2 linked regions of the Caenorhabditis elegans genome follow. The protein of the gene in region 1 interacts with the protein of each later gene in a pairwise test. Each region holds a gene or a part of one and is shown in the gene's direction. Other genes may lie near its edges. The genes, in order: K01A2.10 and rpn-12.

The links.
Region 2: the proteins of K01A2.10 (region 1) and rpn-12 interact in a two-hybrid assay, tested with the Caenorhabditis elegans proteins (2 studies listed by BioGRID).

The regions. Positions count from the first base shown.
Region 1 is NC_003280.10:320,822-325,103, reverse strand, and holds K01A2.10 (CCDC92/74 N-terminal domain-containing protein), read left to right. Parts: upstream 1-2,005; 5' UTR 2,006-2,008; coding exon 2,009-2,152; intron 2,153-2,431; coding exon 2,432-2,746; intron 2,747-3,241; coding exon 3,242-3,556; 3' UTR 3,557-3,662; downstream 3,663-4,282. Other genes in the region: far-7 (Fatty Acid/Retinol binding protein), read right to left, coding at 4,076-4,228.
Region 2 is NC_003280.10:11,651,287-11,654,820, forward strand, and holds rpn-12 (26S proteasome non-ATPase regulatory subunit 8), read left to right. Parts: upstream 1-1,837; 5' UTR 1,838-1,840; coding exon 1,841-1,930; intron 1,931-1,974; coding exon 1,975-2,030; intron 2,031-2,076; coding exon 2,077-2,152; intron 2,153-2,225; coding exon 2,226-2,621; intron 2,622-2,672; coding exon 2,673-2,807; 3' UTR 2,808-2,906; downstream 2,907-3,534. Other genes in the region: rad-23 (UV excision repair protein RAD23), read right to left, coding at 322-333, 388-1,191, 1,241-1,324, 1,371-1,442; nep-1 (Neprilysin-1), read right to left, coding at 3,187-3,286. UniProt on the Caenorhabditis elegans protein: Acts as a regulatory subunit of the 26S proteasome which is involved in the ATP-dependent degradation of ubiquitinated proteins.

The DNA.
Region 1 (4,282 bases):
GACCAAAAATTTTAATTTGTGCTGAAAATTAACACGTGCTAAGAATTCTATTAATGGTTGAAAGTTAATTCAGAACTGAAAATTTCTTGAAAATTAAATAAAGGTACTTTTTCCACAAATTCGTAAATAAAATTCCATAAATGCATTGCAAGATACCAGTTTAGACAGTAGGCTGGGAGGTACCTCCCGATTACCCAGATATTTTTATGTTCAATTTTTTTCCGAATTCCCATATCAATAAACTATTTTTAAATTCCGTATCACCTGAAAATCAAGTGACACCTGTAACTGAGAAATCCTACAAAAAAACAGTCGAAAACCAGTTAGTCCTATGTTTTTATGACTATGTATCAGATGGGTGGAATGGAAATAGAGAGTGGGGGTATGGAATATCGAATGCGTGTTGTTACACTATCATTTATGTATGTATTGGTCGAAAAAGAGAAAAAGAGGTGACACCACCACGCAGGAAGTGCCTACTCTATAATATCGACTAAAATTTCCTTTTTTTTGGGAGAACTTGAATAATAATGTGAAATTTCCTGAATTTCAATTTTTTTGAAAGTACCAATTTTGATTATGTTTTAAAACATCAATAAGTGAGCTAAAAAATTAAAAACAATTTTTTATAAAACCTAGTTATTCTTTTACAAATTGAACTGTCTAACAATTTTTAGCTATCGAAAAAAAAATTGCCAAAAAAAAAATATTACAAAATTTTACAAAACCTCTTTTTTTGTTGAAAAATTAAAGTAATTTTTGTTTTTTCAAAACATTAAACTTTCACCAATATTTATTTGAATGAGGCACCCCCCATAAAAAAATGTTCAATAAATAAAAATTGTTGTGTCCGTAAAAGTATAGAAAGGGTCTCATAAATATTTCCTTATTTGTTTACATTCACTTTTCTCCTATTCTCATATTGTCCCAGAATTCCCTTACTTTTCTAGCTTTGGGCAGCACCAAAAAACCAACAAGAGTTGTTTGAACGGGCCAAATATTTTAACGCCTTTAGAAGTTTTCTGAAAAGCGTTTTTGCAGAATTTTTATGCAAAAATTGAAATTACATAAGAGGTTTTAACGTGAGCCCTTAACTTAGTTTTTTACTGGTTGAGTTTGAATTCAGCAAGACAAAGAAGTTAAGGTTCTAGGGCTCTTATTCAGGGGTGCGCGGCAATTGCCGAAAATTCCAAAAAACCGCAATTGCCGGAATTGCCCGAAATTTTGAAAACCGGAAATTGCCGATTGCCGAAAATTTCCAAAACCGGTAATTGTCAAAATTGCCGCGCACCCCTGATGTACAACCTTTGACCACTATGAAAATATATGTGCAGTATTAACCTTTCCTGAATACCAAATTACCCCCATAGACCCCATTTTCGTTCTGATTTCATAATGTGCTCATTGAGAAGAGCTCATGTTCCCTAACGTGTCCGTGCGTGCGCGGGTTCCATAGAAATCGACCACCACCATTTTCCCTACTTCTCTATTTTCGGCCTCCCTCCCTCTCTGCAGCTGAATCCTTGCCTCGTTTTCTCTATGTCTACTCTTCTGCATCAGGAGGTCTTTGGTATCTCTACCTCTCATCTTTTTCCACTTTTTCCCTCTCTTTTCAAGGAGAAGTTGTTCGATTTTGTGTGTGTGTTTGAAAGATGGGGGATGTACTAAGATGAAGTCAGCTGACTCAATGGGTTTTTTGGTTTTGAACTTTTAGGACAGTTTTGAGGCGGTGGTCTAGGTAGCTGAGGTCAGAATTGTTGGGAGTTCAGTTGGAGTAAGAGCTTCGAGAATTCGATCTCATTTTTCATTAAAATTTGAACAACTTTCTCTAGACGTCTTTTTCTAACTACTAGTTTTTTTTTCAATTTTTAAACATTTACTAAACTTACTGCAATTTGCAAAATGTTTTCATGTTTCCAAATTTTCAAATTGAGTTTTTTTTCGCTTTGATTTTTTTTCATATTCGATTTCATTTCCATACTCCACAAAAATTTCCAATTATTCCAGAATGTCAACTGCAGTGATTGTGAGTCGCCCTCCGTCCCAGACAGCATCCTTTCACGGACCCCAACACCCAAATAGATGCTCATTTTCATCGTCGAGCTCTGAATCGATTCCTCCCACGACTGGAAGGGCAAAGGGTTCTTCTGATGTAAGACATTTAATTTTCATATCGGCATACTTTCCAGAATATTTTTAACATATTTTTTCTTGATCCGAAATTCAAAATGTCGAAAAAAAAACATTTCAAGCAAAATGCACTTTTCAATTTTTCTAAAAACTTCCGCGCAAAAAATTAGTGGGTAGGTCAAACTGTAATTTTTCAAAGTGTTTTGGGGTCAAATTCGTGTTTTGAAATATACAAATATTAAAAGTACAAAGTTGAGCCATATGTTAAAAAGTTAATTTTCAAAACAAAATTTAATTTCAGTTTGAAGAACTTGAAATCCGCATCGACAAAGCCTTGAAAGAACGCGATGCAGAATGGAGGAAACATGAAAAATCACAAATCCAATTTTTACAAAATGAAACTTCAAATATGCTGAAATCACTTCATAATGAAATTAATCGCCTCGGAAATGAGTTACGGGAAGAAAAACGAAAAACTTTGCACGGGGATGATGATTCAGCGGATAAAATTGCTGAACTGGAAAAAGTAATTACGGAAAAGGAAGCTTATACCAAGAATTTAGAAAAAAAAGTTTCAACGACTATTCAAAAACTTCAGGAACAAATTACTATTCAGGTAAGTTTTTTTTAGCCACGCTCTTTTTGTGGGCGGAGTCTAAAACACATATTTTTTACTATTTAAATTGACATTGAAGACAATATGTTTTTAATTTCTGAAATTTGGCAAAAATTTTAGATTTTTTTGGAATTTTTCTTTCTCAGACCAGCACTTTTTTTTAATATTCAAAATTTCCAGATTTCCGGAACAATTCTTTACACAAATTTCAATTTTAAATACCAAATTTTCAAAAAACTATAGAATTTTCAAATAAAAACTTTACAAGATTCGAAATTTGTAAAGTCACATTATTTTCCTTGTGGAAATATTAGTTTAAATTGTGGCTTTGAGCTTGTAAACTTATAAAAATAATGAACAAAACTTTCATAACCATGTAATATCAACTTCTTGGAAATTCATTTCTTTAATTGCCGAGAAATTTAAAAACTTTCAAAAATTCTGAAACTCCAAAACATTTTTGCAGCAATTTTTTTTAATCGAAACAATTTTCAGAGTGACCGAATCCGCCAGCTAAACGAAGAACTCTCTGACCGTAACCAAACCGTAACCCATCTTTCCCAACAACTCCGTGCCATCAAACTCCGCGAAGCAATGGCAACATCCCAGCATCGTCGTAGAGCCTCATCTCAACTCTCCACCACGTCATCACCACCGATGACGTCACCATCCTCACCTCATCGGATCTTTCCACCAGTGTCAAGTGGACTATTATCAGCTTCTGTTGCTGTAACGTATCCTGGAAATTCTAGAATTAGTATTCAGAAAAGATCAACTTCAGCGATGCGTGCACCGACTATGCCTAATTAAGCTTTCAGGAGGCAGGTGCGGAAGCTTAAATTCAATGGGTTTTTGAAACCGATGACTTTTTTATTGTACATATATACCTCAGTCAAATGAAGATATTCTGAATTTTTATTTGAAAATTATAAAAACTACGGTTTCAGGAAAGTTATCAAAATTCCATGTTATGAAAATAGGCAGGAGATGCGTTTTGGACAGAAAATCCTTCCCAAAACGTCGGCGGGGCCTAGTTGTTGCCAGAAATTTAGCCAAGTCAACCATCTCAGCCACAGCTCAAAAACATAGGTGGGGCTGCTCCGACCACGCCTATATCATGGGCATAATGTTTGTTAAGAAAATCAGGCCGCACCCCGAAATAGGGCTTCCATAAGGTCGCCGCAACGGTGGCCGCGCCGGCCTCACGGCATCACTCACGTCGCATGTATCCAAATGTATAGTGCGCATAAGAATATTATATTTTTTATTAATGTCTCATTATGCAGTTTTAATCAAAATACCTTACTGGAGGAAACATCAGAAAAAAAATCAAAATTTAATATCCGGATTATTCTTTCTCAGCGCAGCCTGATCTTCTGAAGATAGGCTTTGGAATTCCTGGTGAAGACGTTTTGCATCTGCATCATCAATTGGTTTTCCGACGGTTAAGGAGCACAAGGTGGTGGTTACCATGTGTATGAGCTGCAAGATTTTTAGTATTTATTACTAGTACTAAAAATGATTTCTAAAATGAGG
Region 2 (3,534 bases), about 11 Mb from region 1:
TGTTGGATGACAAAAGGGAATTACAATACCGAAATTATGTCACACAAAATTCGCTGAACGCGACGAGAATTTCAACGAAGTGCCTACCAGTAGCGGGTGACAATCAGCACATGGAACTGAATGTGTTATTATCTTAAATATATAGACAAAGGGCAATCGAGAAGGCGATGAATACACATTCTTGGAAGAAGTGTTAATAAAAAAATTAGGCTGATAGGAGCAAGAATATAAGCTTTACGGAAATGGGGGAGAGAGAATAAATTAATTTCTGTTGCAATTTCCAGTGACGGTGATCAGAAGTTATTGGCATGGGTAAGATAATTATTCCTCATCCTGAAATAATTAAAAATTAAACTTCTAATTATCTACGTATGGAAATAAACTCACGAGGTTGCTGAAAATAAAGTTGATAGCGGCTTCCTCGTTTTTGTCACATGCGAAATAAGCCTCCACAACCACAGCTTCTGGTGCATTAACAACTATGGCTTTGATTCTCTCAATAGCAGCAGCTTCTTCGGGACTGAGATGGATAACATGGCGACGTGGGGTGTTTCTTTCTGGCGCATTTCCTGCAGCGGCTCCGGCTCCTTGAGCTCCACCATTCAAAAGATCCATGAAAGCTTGCTGGTTGTTCTGAATAGTCTGAACAAGTCTTGGGTTGACAGCAGCCAACTGCTGAAGGACTGCGGCGAGCATTTCAGGATTTTGTTGAATCAAAGCTCTAATTTCTGCAAGCTGTGGCATGTTTGCAAGCATGTTAAGATCGTCATTGCCATCCTCATCCACGTTATCGATGTTTTGCTCGGGCCCCAAATCTGGTTCTTGGTCAGCAGCATCATCAGGAAGTCCGTTGAGAAGAAACTCGACTGCGCGGTCTGGATTCCAGAATGCTGCGCGCAGAGCAGCGATAGTTTGTTCACGGTCATAGCCCATTCCAGTGATTGCGAGAACGTTCTCTTCTTGCTCATCCGTAAGCGCCTCCGCCTCAGCAGGAGCAGCAGCTTCAGGAGCAACATCGGCAGCTGGGGCTGGGTTTGACGCAGGAGCGGCAGCTACTGGAACAGGCTCAGCAGCTGTGGCAACGGTAGATGAAGGTGCAACTTCTGTGACTTTCCTTTTGCTGAGCATCACAACAACGAACTTCGAAGAATCGAATCCGACTTCTCCGACCTTCACAGAATCGTCGAGAATCTAAAAAAAAAACATACTTTAAAGATATTATGAGCCTTCACTGTAATACCTTTCCGTTGTAGATTAATTTTTGAAGTTCTGGAGCATAATCATCCCCTTTCTCCGAAGCGACCAGAGCCTTTACTTCCGCAATCTGAAAGAAAAATAAAATACAAGTCGAACATTAACTCTAATCTTACCGTCTGATCTTCATTCAATTCCAAATTGAAGTTAACTTGTGTGAGAGTCCTGAATGTAACGGACAAAACCATCCTGCAAAAAATTGTGAAATGTTACGAATAGAGTCATGTATTGAAAGAAAAAGAAATAAATATCGATAACAGATTGATATTAATGCAAAACAAGCAGTATATATGTATAAAATAAACAAACATTTGATTATTAATAAAAGAACAAAACAAAAAAACCATTTTGAAGAACAAAATAAGTGGTAAAAAACAGAAGAGAAAATGGCTTGGCGTCTTAAAGGCGCACATGATTTGAACACTCTTCGTGGCGAGACCTGCCAGAATTGTCATTGTGTCGATTTACGGAGAATGCGTTTATTTCTTTTTTGAATGTTTTATTTTTATTTTTTAACTTCACTTGTGTTTATCGTGAACTTTTATCTTCGATTTTATCAAATTAAAACATTATTGGATTTAAGAAAATGTCTGCCGCCCATAAAAATCTTCTGGCTGTGTGGGCAAAGGAGCCAAAAGATCTTGTCGCAGTTGAGAAGGCTCTGAATGAGTTGACGGTCAGTTAATTGTTTGTCAAATTGTAAATAAATTGAATTTTCAGAAGGTTCTCAGTGCCTCCAGCGATTTGAATGATAAACAGTCTGCATTGGCTTCAAAGTAAGATTTTTCTTTGGTGTAATGAGTTTAAATTATTAATTTTCAGAGATTTGTACGAGATTTCGGTGCTCTTGGCAATTCTGAAGCACGATTTCGAAACGTTCGACGATTACATCAATCAGGTGAGTCTTTAAATAATTATTTGGAAAATTTATGTAATTTTTAACGATCTGTAAATTATTTTTAATTTTCCAGATGCATACCTACTATACAATGGCGCCAGAAAATTCTGAAAACAAGCATTTAATGACTGGACTCCATCTGATGTTCCTGCTCGCTGCCAACAGATTGTCCGACTTCCACATGCTCCTCGAACAAATTCCACAGAAAGAGCAAACATCAAACGCTTACATCTCTACGCCAGTTCGTATTGAACAGAGTCTCATGGAAGGAGCCTACAACAAGGTTGTGCTCACCGAGAAGAATATTCCAAGCCCCTTCTACACTATTTTCATTCGTATTATGCTTGACACCATCCGTCGCGAAATCGCAACATCTATCGAGAAGTCTTTCAAAGTTCTGACAGCGAAGGATGCCACGGTCATGCTTCTGTTCGACAATGACGAACAAATGAAAAAGTTTGGACAAGAGGTAATAATGATTTTTAAAGCTACAAGTATTAAAAAATATATTTATTTACAGAGAAAATGGCATTTGGATGGAGAGCGTTACGTTTTCGAAATTGAGGTGGCTCAGGAGAAGCCTGTGAATTTGGATACAGTGCGAGTCGCAACTCAAACCCTCTTCTACGCCAAGCAACTCGAACAAATCGTTTAACCGGTGTCTTTCAAGAACTCAAGCATTGTATTTGTAAACTGATTTTAATTTATTCGCGTCTTTTTCTCGGTACTGTAAGAAAATGAACTTTCCGATGCATTGTTTTAGCAAGTTTTAATTACATCTGAAAATTTTATTTGCACAAAGATTTCTGGAATGAACAAGAACATCTATCAATATGATATACCAAAAAAAGAAGTTGGAAAAATTCGAGAAAAAATACATAGAGGGACAAAATACAGTGAATTCGAGTGTCTATTGTTTTCAACAATATATACAGCTAGATGAGTAAAAAAAAAGGACGAAAGATTTAGTAGATTCTGAGAGACAGATAGATAAAGCGTGCCAACTTGGTTGACTCCTTTCCCGTATTTTCTGATTACCACACAACACAGCGTTTCGTTGGATTCATCGGAGATCCAGCTGGACATTTGAAAGCCTCGGCAAATTCTGGCTGATTTGTTAGAACCGTGTTCACTCTGAAAAAATTATAAATAATTGTTGCCAAAAAAGTTGAATGAACGATGATGTGTATTGCGTAACATATTTTTGAATATCTTGTAGCGAAAACTACATGTAAATAGTAAATCGTCTACTTATGGAAATAAACTCACGAGGTAAATCTTTAAATGACTACTGTAGTGGTTTCGATTGTTAAACGAAAAATAAATAAATTTCCGAGCCCGTAAATCGACACTACAGTAGCCCTCTAAAAAGTTACTGTAGT